Linked DNA regions of Arabidopsis thaliana. The protein of the gene in region 2 interacts with the protein of the main gene of each other region in a pairwise test. Each region holds a gene or a part of one and is shown on either strand. Other genes may lie near its edges.

Region 1 (5,359 bases), on a different chromosome or scaffold from region 2:
CAACCAATCAATCACAAACAAGAAGTTTCAACTCTGAGATTTCATATAACCAAAAACAAACTTTTTTTTGTCTGTAGTGGATACATGGCTCCAGAATACGCCATGAGAGGCCATTTGACAGATAAAGCCGACGTCTACAGTTTTGGCGTTGTGGCCCTAGAAATCGTTCACGGAAAGAGCAACACGAGCTCACGATCTAAAGCTGATACCTTCTACCTTCTTGACTGGGTAAATCATCACTTCACACCTCAAAAAGCCTAAAACCTAAACCTAAACCCCTTAAACCCTAAATTATGGATCTGAATCTCAATTTCTTTCGCAGGTGCACGTTTTAAGGGAACAAAACACTCTACTTGAAGTAGTAGATCCAAGGCTAGGAACAGATTACAACAAACAAGAAGCATTGATGATGATTCAGATAGGGATGCTCTGTACCAGTCCAGCTCCAGGGGATAGACCTTCGATGTCGACGGTGGTGAGTATGCTCGAAGGCCATTCAACGGTGAATGTTGAGAAACTTCTTGAAGCTTCGGTCAACAATGAAAAGGACGAAGAGAGTGTGAGAGCGATGAAAAGGCATTACGCCACGATAGGTGAGGAGGAGATAACGAACACGACAACTACCGATGGACCTTTCACGTCGTCTTCTACGTCAACCGCCAACGCCAACGATCTTTACCCTGTTAAGCTCGACTCTGCCTATTGGAACACTAGAACTTAATTAAGGATAACGTTTTTGCCAAAAAGAAAGAAAATTATGGAGTTATGTTATTATGACGTTTTGTATTTTGCTTTTTGTAAAGTTTTTTTATTTATGATTATTCTATTTAAGACAATTGGAAGATTACGTTACATGAAACAGAAAATGAGAATATTTATCTTAAGAGAATCAAAAGGTCCAAAACAATTTAGATGAGATAATATTTTGTTGTTAGGTTCTTTTAACTTCTTTTTTATTTGTTTGACGTATGATTTGGCTTTTACTTTCTTAAATGAAATCATATTGTGATTTACAAAATTTCATACAAAGGCGAAAATTAAATTTCACTCGGCTTATTTGGACACTAGAGCTTTACTATGATCTAGAATTGTAATGCAGAACCCCCTTGAAATTGCAACGATAAAATAAAAAAATATATGACTATAGGATTCCGTAACTTCTAGAAATTTTTATTTAAGATTTGTGAATATGATTTCTTTTTAAAAACATTTTCAAAAATTTTTAAATTATTTTGAAATATTAATTGCACCGATAACGGCATTATTGTCCCCTTAATATGATTGTTTAGTCAACCATCCTATTAATAATTTAATACGTTTCATGAAACCAGAATAATTATGTTAGATTATATAAGTGCTACCGAATAAATTGTTGGTCTGTTAACATCTGTTTCCATGGACAATAATTTGGCTTGTAATAGTTTAAAGTTTAATAGGTTTATCTATATTGTCGTTTAGAAAATTACAATTAAATTATAAGGAATGAATGATTAAATATGAATTTATAGGTCCTCAAGCTTTTCACGGGGCAGCACCGGCAAATGAAAATCCTTTTAAATAGACCAAACAAAAAGAAAACTCTTCACAGAATCTTTATGGTCCGAACAAATCGAGTTATTTCAAGGAAAACAAAATTTTAAGCATGATCTCGAAGTAAATGGTATAAATAAATATCGACCTTGTAACCGACATTTTGCAAATTTGAAGGTGAACAAAAACAAAAAAGATCGTGAAGTTGTAATTGGTAAACATAAATATCGTACTTAAATCATTTCATTTAAGTTGTTGACCATATGTAAATTACATTACTTGGATTTCAAAATCCAAAATCATGGAAATCAATGTTAGTAAACTACGTCATTAAATAGTAATGATTTGAGTTTTACTGACTTTTTAATTTATATAATTTGATGATTTTAGGGAAGTTGATGTGATTTATTGTAAATTTATTCAAATTTTATCTAAAACTATAAGATTTGGATTTTTATATATTTAACTAAAGAAGTCTTCTCAAATAATTCAGAATTAAAAAGAATCAAATCCACAAACTGTTTTCAATAAGAGTGAATTTTAAGATAGATTTTTAAATCATTAGTTCAATAACACTAGATTTTATTAGAGTTTTTAAAATTTATGATTGAATAGCATATGATTTATAAATTTTACACAAATCATTGAAAATATTAGATTGAATACACTCTCTAAATGCACACAGAAATGTTGAGATTTTTTTTTGTTGGTCAAAGAAATGTTGAGATTTGTTTTCAAGATTTATTGCCAAAAATCTATAGTTCACAACTTCACATATTTGACTGATAAAAACTTATCTTCCTTCTCTTTATTATGACAAATGTGACTTATATATATATTTTATATATAGATGCGTGGGTGTATAAAAACCAGCTGCGTATTTGAATATCTCTCTCTCTCTTGTCTGTGTTGAAATGGGTTCAAAGGATAACGCCATTTCTAATGACTCTGCATTAGTTTTATCGCTTCTTCTTCTTCTTCTTCTTCCCCTGCTTCACGAAGCAGCAGAAGGATGTGACATGTTCACGGGGCGGTGGGTGAAGGACGATTCTTACCCTCTCTACAATTCCTCCACGTGTCCGTTCATAAGACATGAGTTCTCTTGCCAGAGAAATGGACGGCCAGATCTCGATTACTCTACCTTCAGATGGCAGCCTCTTTCCTGCAAATTAGCAAGGTATCATCCATTCTTTATTTATTACATACATTTTTATCTTTTCAAACTTTTTTTTTTGGGTGTCTAGCTATTGAACCAAGGTATCGTTATAGATATGACTATTTTTATTTTTTTACTTTTGATTCATGATTTTGTTTTAATATATTCGTCGGTTTTTATTTGTTGAAATATGACATTACATTAGCGTTATAGGAGGACCACAATTTTTTGATTTGAAAGATAAACGCAATAATAATTCAGCAGTGTGAAGAAATCTTGATTTGGTTCATATAATTACTTTTCAAGAAAGTTGAAAATGTTTAGAGATATTGTTTTTGTGTTTGTAAAATAAAGCACTTTTGAGTGAGCAACCAATGAGAAAAGAGAATGCTATTTATATAGTTGTTTGCTATAATTGAATGGTGTTTAGAATCTCCAAAATTGCACGAGATGAAAACGAACTTTTTTTGTCACAATATATGCCAAGTGGTGGATCCGGCGTGAGTTACACGCGCCGCCATTGAGATTAGGACAGCCACCAAACTCTTCCTCATAAGAAGACATAAATTCCCCCACACTTGTGGGGACAGTAACTCAAATCTTTCGACGGTTCTGTCCTCCTGTTTCTTAAGTTAATTTCAATGCATGCCACCGACATAAAACGCCACCGTTTATATTGTTTGTTCTAGGTTCAATGGATTGCAGTTTTTGAAGAAAAACAAAGGGAAGAAGATTATGTTTGTTGGTGATTCTCTTAGTCTAAATCAATGGCAATCGTTGGCATGTATGCTTCATTCCTCTGTTCCAAATTCTACGTATACTTTAACCACACAAGGTAGTATATCAACCTACACATTCAAGGTAGTTGTTATTACCAAATCTACACTTGTTTTGGTCAAGTTGAATAGAAAACCGGGATGAACTAAACCGGAGTGGTGAAAATTGCAGGAGTATGGACTGGAATTGAAGCTTGATAGGAATGTTTATCTAGTAGATATAGTTAGGGAGAAGATTGGGAGAGTTTTGAAGCTTGATTCGATCAATGATGGAAAAAATTGGGTAGAGATGGATACATTGATTTTTAATACTTGGCATTGGTGGAGTCGGAGAGGTCCTGCACAACCGTACGTTCAAGTAACTCTGAATTAATATGCTTTGTTTTTGGCTTAATTACATGCAATGTTCAAAGTTTGGATTTGTTTTGTTAATTTTGGCAGATGGGATTTGATTCAAATAGGGACTAACGTTACAAAAGACATGGACCGTGTGGCCGCGTTTGAAATTGCGCTTGGGACTTGGGGGAAATGGGTCGATACCGTCTTAAATACTAAGAAAACTAGAGTCTTTTTTCAAGGAATTTCTCCATCTCATTACAAGTAAGTTGATTTTGTTGATTAAAAAGATGATCAACTAAAGAAACTTGTATTTAAAAAGTTGGCTTTGTTGTTTACCAGAGGAGTTCTGTGGGGCGAACCAGCGGCAAAGAGTTGCGTGGGACAGAAGGAACCACTTTTGGGGACAAAATATCCAGGAGGATTGCCAGCAGAAGTGGGAGTTTTGAAGAGAGCACTCGGGAAAATATCGAAACCGGTGACATTGCTAGACATTACGATGCTTTCGTTGCTTCGCAAAGATGCTCATCCTTCGGTTTACGGTCTAGGCGGGCGAAACTCCTCCGGTGACTGCAGCCACTGGTGTCTCTCTGGGGTACCGGATACTTGGAATGAGATTCTTTACAATTATATGGTTGAGTAAAAGAAATAAAATACGGAAACATCAATTATAGCATTTGTTATTGTGATTGATCATTTAAATCTGAATAAAAGGTCCGTTTCTGAATTTTGTAATCATACATAGGTTATTAGAATTAAAGAAATCGAATGATCAAGAAAAATAATTAATCTAAACCCTACCTCCGTGTAGTGTAAGTGAACACAATATGAAACTGTATAGATCAAAACTTCTATAGCTAATTCATTTAGTAAGGTCGTTTTTCAACTGATCGATAGTTTGTCAACAAAGCACATTCCAATTATTAAAGTTTCAACCAAATCTCTACAATAATTCTATAAAAATGGAACTGAATGAAGTCAAGTTATTATCAAATTCGATCTTAAAAAATCATATTCGTATGAATGAAGTCAAGTTATTATCAAATTCGATCTTAAAAAATCATATTCGTATTCGTACTCTCTTTATCTCCATGCCAAACACATAGATTTTACTCTGTTCTATCATGAGCACCTAATATTTTTGTAATGAATGTATCATGAGTTGAACAAAAGGGTCCTTAGCTCAGTGGTAGAGCATTTGACTGCAGATCAAGAGGTCACCGGTTCGAACCCGGTAGGGCCCTTCATTTTTTTTTCCTTTTTTTTTTTTTGACTAAGATTCTTTACAATTATATATACTTTCTTAGGACCATGGTTAGCAAGGAACCTATCTCTAGCAGCCAAAGATCTATATATAGCAAGCAAGAATGTGTTAATAGCAAGTTAGTAACGAAGAGCCTGTTCTTGTGATCGTATAAGTTCATAATACATCAGATTTTCAGTCATGATTCATCAATCCTTCGTTACAAGAAAAGCCTTTAACCTCTTTTTCATCATCTGTGTAATAAGATTTTCTTAGTAACTAACAAAAAGAAAACATAAGGAATCTCCTCAAACCAAG
Region 2 (5,082 bases):
ATGTATTAATAATATTCAACAAAATACAAGTATACGAAATAAATATAAAAAAAAAAAAAAAAAATTGAAAAATTGAATTCATAAGAAAGAGATGTTTATCAACTAACCATTCATGCATCATTACTGACACTTTGGCCGTCCTCTATTAGTAGTAGAATTTAATTATTACTAGTAATTATGTACGTATAAAGATGAAGACACATAATTGTGACTGATAATGATAAATTCTTCAATAAATGTATGGAAAAGCCTATTTGAAGGTTGGAATTCGATAAAATTGAAGAGGGAAATCTTTTAAATAGCACCAAATCTAAGAAATTGTCGGCAGAATCAAACTTTTTACTTTTAATCTTTAGACTAACACAAAACTAACTAAGCTATTCTCATTAGGGTGCCAAACATGTCGGCTAAACCGGAGTTCAAGGCATTTTAATTCGGTCTGATTTAATAATATTTTCGTATCAATAAAAATCTATTGAGTCCTCTTTAAAATGGTCATCGAGTCGGCCCAATAAACAAAATTTATTAGCCCAAAACTGGACCAATATTATCGGCAATTTCTAGTTGAATCTTTAAATTTGAGAGACAATTTGGGTCGTTAACCATTGAAATAGCATGGAGTAAGTTAGAGCCTATTCAGTAATTTACTAATTTTTGTCTTTTGTCAGGAAAACGACATGTATAATCCGCGTTTTGAAGGTGAATTATTACAGGACGAAGATTAAAAATGATATCATCCATTAAAGATCATAGAACATAAGGGTTCGTGAAATGCAGCAGCTTTATTACTCTTAGATAGGTAAATAAACTAGATTCTTACTTTTACCGCTGCTTCCTCGACTATATTTACTTCTCCGCCATTCACATTCATTGAAACTGGCCCTTGCTCATCCTAAACCGTAATGGCCCTTGTTCCTCCTAAACCGGAACAAATAAACCGATTAAAAACCACTAGCTTATGCAGTAATCTACAAATATGATTACAATCTTGAAGAGGACAATTTGTTATCTTCTTTACCTTTGCTTTGGCTCGATGATGCTGCACCAAACTACGGATTGTGGATAAGCTTTTTCAGAGACTGGAAGATTCCCAACTAGCATAAACAGCACCTATAATCTTCTCATGTAAAACTTGACCAGAACATGCGATGATTCCACGGTCAAGACCTTCCAAGTAAACACCTTTCGAGAAGTCTAAGTTTCTCCCTCCCGCATCAGTCACCACACCACCAGCTTCTTCCACAATAACAACTCCAGCTGCGTGATCCCATATCTTCTCTTTGTAACTTGACTGTGCAAACTTCATAAACACTTCAGCGTCTCCACGTGCAATCGCTGCATATTTCACCATGCTATACACTCGCATAGGCTGCTTTCTGCAGAGCAAAAAACTTTTGGTCAATAACGTAACATTTGAATAAGAGAGTGAATAAACAACATTTACCTAACTCCCATGCTATTGGCAAGTCCTGCAGTGAACAAGTGGTTTGAGTTTGCTCTCTCTACTGGCTCACAAACTGTAGCTAAAACCGGATCATCAACTGAAGAAACCTTAAGAAGTGTTGCAGATTCTGGTATTCCTCCAACGATCAAAGGTTGCATCCAAGCTTGACCACTACCTCTCTTTGCATACATAACACATCCTTTCGATACTGAACCAGCAACAGCTTTCGTCTTCATAGCTTGGTTACAACCATTACTTAAACATTCTTTCTTAACCGGATAATTAGGACATCCTAGTACACCCAAAAGAACTTTACCATTCTCTATCAAAGCTAAAGCAACAGCATACTGATCCCCACGAACAAACCCTAACGTTCCATCAACAGGATCAAGAACCCAATGCCTTCCTTTAGGTCCTCCAACAGAGTTACATCTACTAATAGCCTTAAGAATTTCACTAGACCCCAATGGCTTAACTGGCTTCGGAAGCCCGTAGTTCTGAGCTTCGGACAATGCTTCATTAACCGCATTCGACACAGCTCCTAAAAGACCTAAAGAATCAGCCTCAGAGAGTGTCTCAGTGTCTTCTTCAGCAACAATTGAAAGGTTTTGATCACCAAACACTTCAGCTAAAACCCAGCTCACAATTGCTTGTACACCAAAATCTGTCAAGTGAATCAACAAAAGTTTAAAACTTTGATACACTATTGAACTACTAATACAGAGAATCATTGGAAGTGATGAAAAGTTGCAAACTTTTGTATTTTAATACACATTTTGTTTCATCTATCAACGAATTAAAGAACATGATTATTCGATTACACAATCCAACATCAAAAATTCGTTTTTTTTTTATTTAACACAAACAGATCTCAAAATTACAATTAGAAAAAAACAGAACACAAAACAGAGAAACAGAGAAATCGAACCAGCGACGGTGACAGGGGAATCATCGTCTTTAGACTTAACGTGACCACCGTTAGGAAGATGAAGCTTCTCTTGAACTTTAACACAGAGAGAAGAAGCGAGGTGGACAACACGCACCGCCGTGTCAATCTCCGTTTCTAAGGAGTCCACCGCCATCGCCGGCGAAATCTATCGGAGGAGAAAGGAAGAGGAAGAGAAAGAGATATCAAAAAGCTTCACGCTTTTTATTCACATGCTCTCTCTCCACTGCTTCTTCTCCTCTCCTTTTTTTTTCTTTCTTTCTTTTAATACAAAATCATAATTATTATTTTAATTTTACTTTTTATGCTCTTTTTGGTGGCTCTGTCACATTTTCTTAAAGTGGTTATAGTTAAATTATTTATTCCCTGGATTAAAAAATAAAATAAAATAAAACAACAACACACTTTTCTCCTTAATAACAACTTTTTGTGAAAATTAATAATAAATAAATATATAAAAGTTAATAACAACGTTGATTTTCAAAAGTATTTCAAACTAGAAAAATAATTATTTTCTTTGTTGTAGTATAACAACGTTAATGTTTTTGTAAGAATACATTTTCTTTTTCTCCTTCCTAATTTTTTTTTTCTTTTGCAACGTTATGCTAATTTGTGTATTAAGAAATGTGATTCACTACTTGATATCATACAAAATTAAGGTATCAATTTCGACGCTTTTCTAATAAAACGATATTGGAAGATAATATTTTTGGTATGTTATTGTTAGTGAGTATTTTCTTGAAGCAACCAAAAATTGAAAACTAAATAATTCTTTTTAATACAATAAAAACAATATTCACGTTTGACAAATAGAAAAAGAAAATGAATAATCGTATATACTTTACGACAAAATCGTAACGTGTGGATGGTGAGTGGGTTTTGTACTTTGTAGACTTGTAGTTAGGTGAATTAGGGAACACGTGCGGAAGAAGAAAAAAAAGGTCGAAACAAAAAGTTGTCTTTATAAAAATTCTCGCATTCTCGTTTTTCAGCTAATAAAAAAATTACTCATACTTTTAATTTTCGTATTCTTCTGATATTTTCTCTACAAATCTATATGATTTAAGTTATAGCAATTTGGGGAAAAACTAAACGCATAGACGGTTTCTTTTTTTTTCTATTCACTTTGGTATAATAATCTTAGGGGAATAAATGAAATTATATAGATGAAGAGGTCAAATGAATATAGACCGTAAAGAAGGGACTATGCATGGTGGTCGTGCATGTGGACAGAAAGCTCCTGTGTTTGCTGTATAACTAATTAATTGAATATAATCTATTTAATTAATATAGCATTAGGATTAAATTATGTTAATAGGCTGTGAATAATAAACAATAGTACAAACTTGTTAAACCGTCCAAGACTCCAAGTAAGTGAGCCCAATATGATAATATATTTAGTTGGGCTATAGGAAAATTTATATAGCCTTTGAAGCCTATATGAAATCCCATTAATGCTTCAGATCTTAGGAAAATTAACAAGATGTTTAAGAAAATTAGTTTACACATTGAATGATGGAAACTCTCCAGAACTGTTGCTTTTTTTTTTTTTTTTTTTTTTCATATAGGCCCGATCCATAATAGGTGCTGACCATTGTATGTTTTCAACACGGATGATGAGAGACTGAGCCATATGTGCTACAACTTATGCGTATAGCAGTCTCCTAAGTCCCAAAATCTCCCTCAAACTCTATCCATGAATCATGATAAGCCACTGAAATCAGTTGTGGACTTACGCTGGTTAATAACATAGAGGCATATTAAAACCTCTTATCAGGAGCTGGATGAGACTGTTTTTATTCTAAAGCAAAGTAAAGAAAAAACTTAAATTGTGTAACCAAGCTCTCAAATGATTCTTAATTTGATTTCATATAAGGTATTGGAGGAGAATGTTTTTTGAGGCAACTTTACATGTTAACATCATTGTTCATCTATGTATTTCTTACTAAAAATCTTAATTATATGGATTAATTGACTTCTAATGAGATATCATTTTGGACTTCTTAGGATCCTTTGATACTTGGTAAGTTAGTATCTATGTAGACAATTATTAGTAGAGAAATGCAAACTAACAACACGAATTGATTAAGATAATTCCAAGTTGTTCGTTGATTACATCTAATTCAGTAAGGAAGTTAATCAAGTTGATTTTGGATCTGATGATATGTGATAGATAATACAAGAAGAAATGGTTGGGACCTAAAAAGAAAAGATGATTATAGTCAAAGAAAAGAGTCGTTAGACATATAAATTTCTTCATTTTTTTGGTTTCATATTTTTCGTCTTATTATTTACCAAAACAAGAAAGACAGAAAAAGGCTAAAGAACGAAACGCGTCTCTCGGCTGGATTCACGGCGTCGACGTGATTGACGGTCTCGTCGTGACCAACGTTTTTCATTTCATTTCTGTAAGTGGAATAATCTCTCTTTTTCTCGAATCTCATCCACATTTAAGAGTCACAAATTTGTAAGAGAAACTTATATTTAAAATAGCTTTAAGAAAAATCCTCCAATAACAGCCCCTTTACGCAAAAAACTTACATATAATTAACTTCTCAAAATGTTTTATCTATCACCTGATAAAACACCAATTATTTTTAAATTGACACAATAACTCCGACTCCTATGTGAATAGTTCCTTGCACAATCAATTAAATCATGATTCTGCATATTTATGTGTGTGTGTTTATGT
Region 3 (5,241 bases), about 12 Mb from region 2:
TGGCACATTGAGTATGAGAAGATTGATGAGAACGTGCCTCACCCTGAGAATCTTCTCCCTTTCTTCGCCGAGATGACCAAAGAGATTGACGAACACCTCTTATCCGAGGAATGAAAACATACTCTTGGTAATAGTTATATCTTGTGTTGTCGCTATATATAATTTATTGCATGATAATCATATGTATGGGGTTTCATAGTTGATGTGAATACTTTTCAAAGTATGGTGTGATTATTAATAATTAATAAGGAAACTATATAATATATATTTATTTTTGTTAAATGTTATAACTCTCTTACTATGAACTATGGAGGTTTTTTCGTAAATGATACAAATAAACAAAAAAAGATTTGAAGACATAGAGGAGAATTGTGGAAGTCCGCTTGGCCCAATGATTGACTAAAGGTTCATTAATGCTTCTACATCAAGAGGTTTGGGGTTCGAGTCCCACCTACTACGATTTATTAGCATATTTGTAGATTAATGGAGACAAGTGTGCTAATGGAGACAAGTGTGCAGGAAATCTCCAACGATATACAATTATAGCCGTTCCTCAGGATTCTACGCAGTGAAGATATTGAAGGTGTCCATCAAGAGTATGGAGAAAGAGAAGGAGGTGTCGTCTGTCGTGGATATAATAAGATCAGAAGGAATTGTTCGTGGTAGAATCGTCTATATCACAGTTTCATGATTTGCGATTAATAATAAATCTAGACAGCAAAAATAAAAGACATAGAGGAGAATGCATTTGGTTGAGTAATTGTTGGCGTTGGCTGTAAGTGGCTGAAACAAAGTAGAGAGAGTTCTACTTTGATTTGGTTTTGGTAAATCCAATAATATGAGGTCAAAATAGTAGACGAAAACAAATTATTATAACTGAAATGCATGAACACAGATCAAACCAAAAGGCAAAAGAGTCAATGAAACGTTCATGTAGATTATTCTGTTTTATTAAAATTCATGTTTTCGACCAAGAATTGCAATGGAAGTAGTCAACTAAAATTATTCATAATCGAATATGCAACTTTTTATACATTTCACATTGACCAGTAATAAGCAAATTGAAATCTTGGACTCTTGGAACGAACGTCTCTTATTACACACGAAACCGGCACACGTCCAACATTCATTCAATAGGCAAATTCTCTGCTTCATATCTAATCGAATCGAACAGTTTAGTCGATAAATAACGTTCTCCTCCACTAGGAAAAACCACCTGAAAACCGGACATTAACCGAGATATTCAACAAACTTGGTATGTTTTCAGTGAACACAAAGCTTATAGGTAAGCAGTTAGTGAAAAAGCTTACCACAATGAGTTTCCCCGCGTTTTCTGGCCGCTTTGCAACCTTTAACGCAGCCGCTGCTGCGGCTCCAGAGGATATTCCCACCTGCCAAATGAATTATCTCATTTATCAGAAACTTCTCCTTTTTTTCTGCCAAAATTTTGGGTTTATACCGACAAAAAGAAGTTAACCTATTGTACCAGTAATCCTTCTTTGAGGGCAAGAAGCTTGGCTGTTTCAATAGCCTCTTCACCTGCCACCTAAATCAAAAGATTCCAGATCTTAGATTATTTGTTCAAGATCAAGAAGTAGATCATATCAGGCTACTTACTTGAATAATTTCATCAACAATGGTTAAGTCCAAATTGAATGGGACGATACCAGAGCCAATTCCCTGAATCAAATGTGGACCTACAAATATGAAGTCCCATAAACCGATATTATAATTAGAAATGCAAGAACTCGGACAAAAGAACGATGATCTTATAGATAACTTGGCGCGTATGTTAATGTTGTCACTATATATATGTACATTAAATCTCATACAAAACAACAAATCAATACTATATGTTGCATAAGATCTATCAAATGTTCATTTTCTGACCTGGTTGACCTCCGCTAAGTACCGGACTTTCTACTGGTTCCACCACACAAACCTATAAGATCAAGATTGTAACCGAGTTATTAAAAACCGAGTTTTTGGTTGTTTTTAAGCGTTAGTGAAAGTTTTTGTACCTTGATGTCTTTGTTCTGCTCCTTGAGGAACTTCCCTACTCCAGTAGCAGTTCCACCAGTCCCTACGCCAGCGACCAATATATCTACTTTCCCGGCTGAATCTCTCCATATTTCCGGTCCCGTGGTTCGGTAATGAATCTGCAAGATACAAACTTGTGTTCAATGAAGACATAGAGAGACTAAAAGCATATACATAATTGTGTTGGATGCATGATATTATTTTATCAACCTCGGGGTTTGCAGGATTTTCAAATTGTTGTGGAATGTAACCACCAGGAGTTTTGCTTAAAATCGCTTCAGTTTTCTCCAACATTCCTTTAAGGCCTATGCGCTGGTCCGAGAGATGAAGCTCTGCACCTAGTGCCCTCAGAATGATTCTTCTCTCTAAGCTCATAGTTGAAGGCATCACAAGGATCACTTTATAGCCTCTTGCAGCTCCCATGCAAGCTAAACCAATCCCGGTGTTACCAGCAGTTGGCTCTATCAATGTACTCTATAATCAAAAACAATTAAATTCCATCTATGTATTCTTTATAAATTATGGAGAAACTTTTATGATAACTTTAAATGTTCATATTAACCTTTCCGGGAGTAATCAATCCTTTGTCTTCTGCATCTTTGATCATACTATACGCGATTCTGTCTTTGACGCTAGAACAAGGCTCCATCATCTCAAGCTTCGCAGCGATACGAGCCACGCAACCATCAACAACATTGTTCAGATACACCATTGGTGTGTTACCAATCAACTGCACAAACATAGAAAAAGATTTTAGACATGTTCTTTGTATCATAAAAAAGCAAAGTGATACATATATAAGAAATTAGAGATTATTACTTCAGTGATATCGTTCTTGATCAAGCACCGATCTTCCATGTTGGTCTGTTTTCTGAAACTATTGAAAAATCAATATTTGGGTACCAACTACTAAAGAACAAAATGGATTTATGAAGTCCAATAACCATAGAATAAGATTCAAGAATCTAGACACAAAGCACAAAATACTCAATGGTCAAAGTTTGCTAACAGACTCTATTTACAATGCACAAGTAAGATTCAAGAACAATCTTGGCAATTTTTTGGTTATATTGTTTCATAACTAAAATTTTTAATATGGAACTTCTAAACTCTAAAGTAGATAAGAGACAAAATAAAAATTTAGTAAAGAACAGTGAAAACTAGATAAATTTGATACCAAAATCAAGAAATGATAGTAAGACTAAATCAGAACGAACAAGAACAAAAAAAAAAAAGTCGTACCTTTGCGTTTAAACGAATTATTAGTGAAGAAGACAAGGCTGTATTCTAGATTAGGATATATAGAGACTACCCTACTTTGCATGTGGTGCACACTGAACGATGTTGAAGTATGAAGACGAGTTTATGTCATCATTCTTGTATAATAATGTTAAAAATTTGACATCTAAAGAGTTTTTGTCATATTGCGTAATGAGAGCATCCAATAGTTGTATTTTGTTATTAAAACAAAATCTGCAGATAAACATTTAACACTATTATTAAAATGTTTAAGAGCATTATATTGTCCTTTTCTCTAGTACTAATCATGTGTTACTTATCCGAACGATCGAATAATATTACACCTAAGTGGTCACAGATCAATTTTTTAACCACATGATTTTCTTAACACAAATCAAATTTTCATAACCACATGCTTTTTCATTTTATAGAATACAATGTGTCGTTATAGTAAGTTAGTGACACAATTTGCTTGCATTGGTTGCCCAAATTACTTGAAATTGCAGAAAAGTTTTTTTTTTTGTATGAATGTAAAATTATATTCAACAAAAAACTGTTTTACAAAAGATGTAACATTAAGAATAAAAAGAATGAAAAAAACAGAACTACTTAGACAGTCTTGGGAATACAGTTTTGATTGGCCGCCTTCAAGCTTGGCAATGCCCAATTGGTGAATGGTGCTGAACATTTTGATCAATGATTTTTGGAGATTTTTGCTTCTTTTTTCTTTGGACAACTGTTTAAATTTTCTTTTTTGTAGAAACACACTTAAACATGTTCTTGACCAAGTGTAGTTAGCTCAATTGATAATTATCCTAGGTGAAATTTAGAGGTCGCCGGTTCGAGTGACACTTGGGACGAAACTAATATTACATGTTGTGGTTTCGGGCCTGGAAAGATTATGAAGTTCGGTACAAAACCTTCTGGTATTCAAAAAAAAAAACAACATGTTTTTGAAATGTTAGGTCCGAAGAAAACAAATAATCAAAAACTATAAACATAGAAGAGTCTCTCGTTTGTGCGGAGGGTTGTGGTATGTGTTTATTGAAGAAGACTCGGTACACATGAATTAGGGATTAAACCGGATTCGGTTCCGGATTTATTGAAGACCGTTAGTGAGTTAACAGAGTTAGCTAAAAGCTCTGTATCAAAACAAGCTCTAGTTAATGTGTTTGTATCTAATTTTCAATTCAATTACAAACAAGAGTCATGAGTGTTGATGTAGGGATCACACAAGTACGATGTTTCTCTAGGAAGAGTTAAAGAATCCGTCTCGGTTAACAGGCCGATGACTAGACGAGAATTTCTTGACTAAGGGACGTGGTATTGTGACGGAATGATCGAAACAGGATGAGATCGGCGATGTGTAGACAAGGCGAGGTCTTGGAGACGAGGTGAGGTCTTGAAGATGAGGCGAAGTCTTGAAGACGAGGTGAGGTCTTGAAGACGAGGCGAGGTCTTGAAGACGAGGTGAGGTCTTGAAGACGAGGCGAGGTCAATGGTTGTACTGCTGTCCTTTCTCTGTGTCAGCGGGAATTGCGCATTTCCTTTCATTCCTTTCCATTCTTGTACTTATAGGACCTGTCCTTTTAGGGTTTCCTTTTTATGCTTGTAAGTCTTTACCACTTTTTCCACTCTGCACAGTACATCTGTCCTCTTTGCCCTCTTCCTTTGGTCGATGGAACACTCCAGATCTTTTCTATCACTTACTGGGCTTGGTTTGGGCTTATTATGTTCATGGGCCAAAACCGACCATTAACAATGAGTAAGATTTAACGTTTGATTGTGACGGTCTAGCGATCGGATTATATCAAAATTAGTTAATGAACAACTTATAATTGATCATCAAGGAATATGTAACTCTTATTGATTTTACAATGACCTACAATAATCAAAATGTAACCTTGGTACCAACATCTCTTATTGAATCCTACGTTACTACTACTCATTCAACTGGCAAAT
Region 4 (5,441 bases), on a different chromosome or scaffold from region 2:
ACGGCGACTTCCTCTACAGGCGCCGTGACCGTTGCACTTCCGGCTGGATCCGCCGTCCCTGTCTCCGTGATTCCCGTTGATTCCGATCCGAAGTGGCACCGTATGACGGAGATCGTCCATCAGAGACCACCGATCGATGATTCTAGACGCCTTTTCCAGAGGCTGTGGACAGACGAAGACGAGATCGAGCTTCTTCGTGGTTTTCTCGATTACATGACGATGCACCGCGGAAGCAGCTCGCATCCGCCGGATACGGCGCCGTTTTATGAGCAGATAAAGTCGAAACTTCAGCTGGATTTCAACAAGAACCAGCTGGTGGAGAAGCTTCGGAGATTGAAGAAGAAGTACAGGAATGTGATGAGCAAGATCAGCTCTGGTAAAGAGGTATTCTTCAAGAGCCCTCATGATCAGTCTACTTTCGAGATTTCTAGAAAAATCTGGAACCAAACTGGGAAAATCATAGGCTTTGAAGATAACAACGTAATGGATTTCGAAGAAACCAATAACCATCATAACACCACCAATGGTAACTACTCAACCTTTAACAGCCCTAGTTCTAATCCTACTCTGGAGCTCGACTCCGAAAATGGAATCGAGAAGAAATTGACAATGAGTAGCAGTAGCGTGTCGAGAAAACGATCACGATCAAGAATTGGGAAGATTGAGGAAGACAACAAACCTGTCATCACTCCCTCTGATGGGCCAATAGCTAGCAATGTCAACCTCAACGAAGCTGCAGCTGTTGGTATTGGAGGAAATCTCGGGGGTTTGATCGAAGAGACTGTGAAAAACTGTGTCTCTCCTGTGATCAAAGAGATGATGAATGGGACAACAAGTATGATGATGGCTGCAATGGGAGGAGGGTTTCCGGGTCTTGGTGGTGGTGGTGGTGGTGGTGGTGGTCATGGTTTTGGCTCGCTAAGCCCCATGTTTACACGGCCGTTCAATTTCGGTTTTGGTGTAGAGGGAGGAGGAAACAAGGCGGTTGCAGATGAGCGGTGGAGGAAACAACAGATTCTGGAATTGGAAGTGTATTCAAGGAGATTAGAGTTGGTTCAAGAGCAGATTAGAACGACATTGAACGAGTTAAAGACGATGCCGAGTGGTATATGATGAAGGGCGAGAAGAATAAGACAACAAGGAACCATTTAGGTTGATATTTGATATCTTTGAGTTAACCTTCTGGTGTGTGAGTGAGTATAGTAAGAGATTTGGATCTTTTTAAGTTATAAATTGGTAAGGTATTGTGATCTTTCTCTAGGTTTTTTCATCATTTTGATTTTTTTTTCTTCTTCTTATCTTTAAATTATTTGTCAATAGGGATGAATCATAGGAGGGGGGTTTGTGTATAACCTTTTGTATTAGATTATAGTTCTTTTTTCGTAGAATCATTTGTTCAATAACAAACAGACTTTCTAGCTGTTTTTCTTTCAAAAAGAAGAAAAATAATAATTCTAAATTGTGTGCTACTCTTTCTTTGTCTAATAAAATCTGTAATAACATGTTTATTTCTAGATCGGATACTGTTATTGAAGTGTATTAAACTTTGACCTCTTTCTTTATCATGTTGATTAATGTAGTTACTTAAAAACTTTTGTGTTTGAAAAAAAGAACCAATGTTGTGTTTCTTGCTAGTACGCATCAGAAGATTCCTTTCCTGATTAAGTAAAAAAAAAAAGGCATAATCAAAACAATTTAAAGATTCAAGAAGGCAGAAACTTGTCCACGTGACGAGGCAAAGAATGTTAGGTAGGTTTGTTATTGACTTTATAGTTTATACAATGATTTTAACAAAATACCTATGGAAGATACATGATTATTTTTTATAAATGTATAAACGAGTGGATATATTTGGTGGTGGATGATGGTGTGTGTGTATATGCAAATAATTCACTTTATAAAAGCTTATCGCTAATTTGACAGAACACTAGAACAGTTCTCTCTTTTTGTCGACAGTCTTCTTCTTCTTCTTCTTCTTCGATTGGATCTGGAACTGGTAAGCTCTTCTATAAGTCTCTGGTTTTGTATCTTTCGAACTGTTCTTTTGTTTCTCTCTCCAAAAATTTCAAACTTTCATAATTTCGCCTCCTCAAGTTCGATTTCAGCTCAAGAACACGAATGCTTCACTCACTTGTTTCATTGTTAAATCTTATATTTAGTTTGATACTCATGTTTTCTGCTGTTCGATTTTTTTTTTTCTCTGATTTATATTCGAGTTTGAACTTAAATCATGGTTTTGGTTTCACTTTACAATTTTGGATCTCATGCAGTTTCAAAACACTCTTCGATTTATATGAATGTTTTATATTATTAGGGACATTGCTTGCAGACTGTGTCTTAAATCTTTTTGATTTTCTTGTGATCTTCAGAACTCAAATTGGGAAGAATTTTGACATGGAGGAGGACCGGTGTTCGATCAAGGATGATGCAACTCAAGTAATCATAATCTTTCAGTTGTCTTTTTTAATCAACTGCTTCACTGGAATAAAGTTCTAGTTCCTTTGCTCAAGTAAAATGTACTTAGTTCCTTGCATACTGTGTCAGTTGATAGGTAACACCCCAATGGTATATCTGAACAACATTGTGGATGGTTGTGTAGCTCGTATTGCAGCTAAGCTTGAAATGATGGAGCCTTGCTCTAGTGTCAAGGAGCGGTATATATACAAATAACCCTCTCTCTATCTCTTTTGTCTGCTCCAAGCAATGTTTGTTCTTTTGTGTGTGTTTCTGAGAAATATCTTGTTTCTTTTGATTGATCCTTCGCTTGCTAGAATTGCTTATGGTATGATTAAAGATGCAGAAGACAAGGGATTGATTACTCCTGGGAAGGTAGATCAGATTATATCATACATTCGTGTTTTTTCGTTTTCGCCATTAAAAATCAAACTGATACTTGGATCCTGGTGGTTTTACTCAGAGCACACTGATTGAGGCTACCTCTGGTAACACCGGGATTGGTTTAGCCTTCATCGGTGCAGCTAAAGGTTACAAAGTGGTCCTCACAATGCCCTCATCAATGAGCCTTGAGAGAAAAATCATTCTTTTAGCATTAGGTGCGGAGGTTCACCTCACAGATCCTAGTAAAGGCGTTCAAGGAATAATCGACAAAGCTGAAGAGATATGTAGCAAAAATCCAGATAGTATCATGCTAGAACAGTTCAAAAATCCTTCAAACCCGCAAGTATGGACTCTCCTTTCACATTACATTTGCTCTTCTTCTCTCTCTATCTATATTTATCAATCTAAATTGATTATTCTGCAGACTCATTATCGAACCACGGGTCCAGAGATATGGAGAGACTCTGCAGGGGAAGTAGACATATTGGTTGCCGGTGTTGGAACTGGTGGAACGCTTTCCGGATCAGGAAGATTCCTCAAGGAGAAGAATAAAGACTTTAAGGTAGAGAAACTTTTATTGAAGTCCAACCATAGTAGTTATAGATTTGGCTTTTCAAGCACTTCTCTTATCAACAGGTTTATGGTGTGGAACCTACAGAAAGTGCGGTAATAAGTGGAGGCAAACCGGGTGAGTTCAAATCTTGTTCTTGAGTCTAACATAAGTAAACATCATTCGAGGAGTTTCTTGCTGCTAAATCACTTTCTTGATCACATAACGGATACTGGTTTCCTGTTTGTAGGTACACATTTGATCCAAGGTATTGGGGCTGGACTCATCCCAGACAATTTGGATTTCAACGTTCTTGATGAAGTCATCCAAGTAATGTAGCTGAGGTTTTATCGGTGTTGTCTTTGTAAACGCGATGAGATGTCAGAGAAATCGTACTGAGATGTTGGTAATCTCCAATTCTTTTTTCAGGTGACAAGTGTGGAAGCAATTGAAACAGCCAAACTTCTTGCCCTGAAAGAAGGATTACTGGTAGAATCACTGGTTTAATTGGTTTTAACATTTTTATGTTCGTTTAAGCCATAAAACCAACATTTCTATGTCTGGCAGGTGGGAATATCTTCTGGAGCTGCTGCAGCCGCTGCGATAAAGGTGGCAAAGCGGCCAGAAAACGCCGGCAAACTCATAGTTGTAAGTAAAAAAACAGAATCATAACGTGTAGCAGATAATTTGCCATTTCACTGAGGTTTTAAAGAAAATGAATCGGTTACTGTCTGTTTTGTTTAGGTGATTTTCCCTAGCGGTGGGGAACGTTACCTATCGACCTCATTGTTCGAATCAGTCAGACATGAAGCAGAGAATTTGCCAATTCAATGAGGCTTTTACACGACCTGACTTGGTTCGTTTTGGTGAAAAAGTACCAAGATTTCGGTTCGACATTTACACTGTCATAGTTTCATGAACTTTAAGATTTCAGATGATGTATGATCTCTAATCTCTAGCCTCTAAGGTGGACTGTCCTTTGACATTCTATTGGTGGTTTTTTTCTAGCTAATATATGTGTAAGTCTGTAAAACTTTTGTTGACAATGAATCTAGAACTATATAATGGCCATGTAGGATTTCAACCCATGTTACTAGTAGTAGACAATTTGGCTAGAGGATTGTGGAAGAGGAAAAAGATCAGAGGACAAGAGACTATAAACAAACACATCATAGGTTTCACCTTTGAGACAAGTCTACTTCCTGAGCAAACCCTCTCTTTGAAACCCAAGCTTCTCAACAACTCTTTGGGACACTTAGTTTTGAGTTTGAACAAAAGCCTGAAGCCTCAAAACATGAGGCAAGTCATTGAACACTTGTGATACTGCACCTTAACTAGACTTATAAGTTGCTTAGAAAAAACATTGCTTAGCAACCAAAGAATTTGTGATTCCATCTCTAATATTCCTTCTTCATCGTCTTAACTCCTATAATAAAATCTTATATGTATAAAAAATAGTAAATGATAAAAGAAAAAGAAGGGAAATGATTTAGTTAATTATGTCTTGATCATTAATAGATTCAATGGATTAAAGATAACAATAGTTTTGGTCTTTTGGAGATAGAGATCGAGCTTAACAATCAAACCCACACCAGCATGTAGGATAAAAGAACTCAGGATGTTGTTTTGAAGGAGGAGATGGGTAATAACATGTTCCATTGCCTTTGTAGTCAGCCATGCACTTCTCTTTGCATTTCTCGTCTCCTTCACAAATCCATGAATTACTACACTTTTTTGCTTCTCCTATCATGATCCCGTTTTCTATATAATAACACAAACACAAGTTTATCAATATAAAAGAAGTGGAACCATTTTGTTATCTTTTTTCTCAGTTCCGAGTTCCAACCAAGGACACAACAAAATATTAATTTTGTCATCCTACTAGATATGGTAGATAAAGTGATCAGAATTAGTATATCAAACAATGTTTAAAGAAAAAATGTTACCTGAAGAAGAAATAACGAAAACGACAATAAGTATGAAAAGAAGAGAAGAGTTTTTCATTATCTTTTGGATTTGTGAATGTTGAGAGTAGGCTTCAACTAAATTTGTT

What was found.
Region 1: the proteins of HL (region 2) and TBL41 interact in a protein complementation assay, tested with the Arabidopsis thaliana proteins (one large-scale study listed by BioGRID).
Region 3: the proteins of HL (region 2) and CYSD2 interact in a two-hybrid assay, tested with the Arabidopsis thaliana proteins (one large-scale study listed by BioGRID).
Region 4: the proteins of HL (region 2) and CYSD1 interact in a two-hybrid assay, tested with the Arabidopsis thaliana proteins (one large-scale study listed by BioGRID).

Annotation. Positions count from the first base shown.
Region 1 is NC_003074.8:4,993,171-4,998,529, forward strand, and holds TBL41 (TRICHOME BIREFRINGENCE-LIKE 41), read left to right. Parts: upstream 1-2,255; 5' UTR 2,256-2,444; coding exon 2,445-2,707; intron 2,708-2,770; exon of another isoform or gene 2,771-3,375; coding exon 3,376-3,547; intron 3,548-3,634; coding exon 3,635-3,810; intron 3,811-3,903; coding exon 3,904-4,062; intron 4,063-4,140; coding exon 4,141-4,441; 3' UTR 4,442-4,615; downstream 4,616-5,359. Other genes in the region: AT3G14840 (Leucine-rich repeat transmembrane protein kinase), read left to right, coding at 78-228, 323-721. UniProt on the Arabidopsis thaliana protein: May act as a bridging protein that binds pectin and other cell wall polysaccharides. Probably involved in maintaining esterification of pectins. May be involved in the specific O-acetylation of cell wall polymers.
Region 2 is NC_003076.8:22,083,577-22,088,658, reverse strand, and holds HL (HAL2-like protein), read right to left. Parts: upstream 2,662-5,082; 5' UTR 2,527-2,661; coding exon 2,373-2,526; intron 2,109-2,372; coding exon 1,445-2,108; intron 1,377-1,444; coding exon 1,073-1,376; 3' UTR 1,019-1,072; intron 919-1,018; 3' UTR 565-918; downstream 1-564. UniProt on the Arabidopsis thaliana protein: Phosphatase that converts adenosine 3'-phosphate 5'-phosphosulfate (PAPS) to adenosine 5'-phosphosulfate (APS) and 3'-phosphoadenosine 5'-phosphate (3'-PAP) to AMP. May regulate the flux of sulfur in the sulfur-activation pathway by converting PAPS to APS.
Region 3 is NC_003076.8:10,025,269-10,030,509, forward strand, and holds CYSD2 (cysteine synthase D2), read right to left. Parts: upstream 3,455-5,241; 5' UTR 3,283-3,454; intron 3,268-3,282; exon of another isoform or gene 2,912-3,267; 5' UTR 2,899-2,911; coding exon 2,860-2,898; intron 2,771-2,859; coding exon 2,603-2,770; intron 2,601-2,602; exon of another isoform or gene 2,515-2,600; coding exon 2,251-2,514; intron 2,160-2,250; coding exon 2,022-2,159; intron 1,943-2,021; coding exon 1,891-1,942; intron 1,698-1,890; coding exon 1,618-1,697; intron 1,547-1,617; coding exon 1,487-1,546; intron 1,392-1,486; coding exon 1,311-1,391; intron 1,217-1,310; coding exon 1,127-1,216; 3' UTR 919-1,126; downstream 1-918. Other genes in the region: AT5G28010 (Polyketide cyclase/dehydrase and lipid transport superfamily protein), read left to right, coding at 1-114; DES1 (L-cysteine desulfhydrase 1), read right to left, coding at 5,225-5,241.
Region 4 is NC_003074.8:1,363,287-1,368,727, forward strand, and holds CYSD1 (cysteine synthase D1), read left to right. Parts: upstream 1-1,803; 5' UTR 1,804-1,996; intron 1,997-2,191; exon of another isoform or gene 2,192-2,369; 5' UTR 2,370-2,394; coding exon 2,395-2,436; intron 2,437-2,544; coding exon 2,545-2,654; intron 2,655-2,771; coding exon 2,772-2,829; intron 2,830-2,917; coding exon 2,918-3,181; intron 3,182-3,262; coding exon 3,263-3,400; intron 3,401-3,474; coding exon 3,475-3,526; intron 3,527-3,638; coding exon 3,639-3,718; intron 3,719-3,817; coding exon 3,818-3,877; intron 3,878-3,955; coding exon 3,956-4,036; intron 4,037-4,132; coding exon 4,133-4,222; 3' UTR 4,223-4,558; downstream 4,559-5,441. Other genes in the region: AT3G04930 (DNA-binding storekeeper protein-related transcriptional regulator), read left to right, coding at 1-1,113; LCR41 (low-molecular-weight cysteine-rich 41), read right to left, coding at 4,962-5,149, 5,335-5,392. UniProt on the Arabidopsis thaliana protein: Acts as a cysteine synthase. The cysteine synthesis reaction is more efficient than the cyanoalanine synthase activity.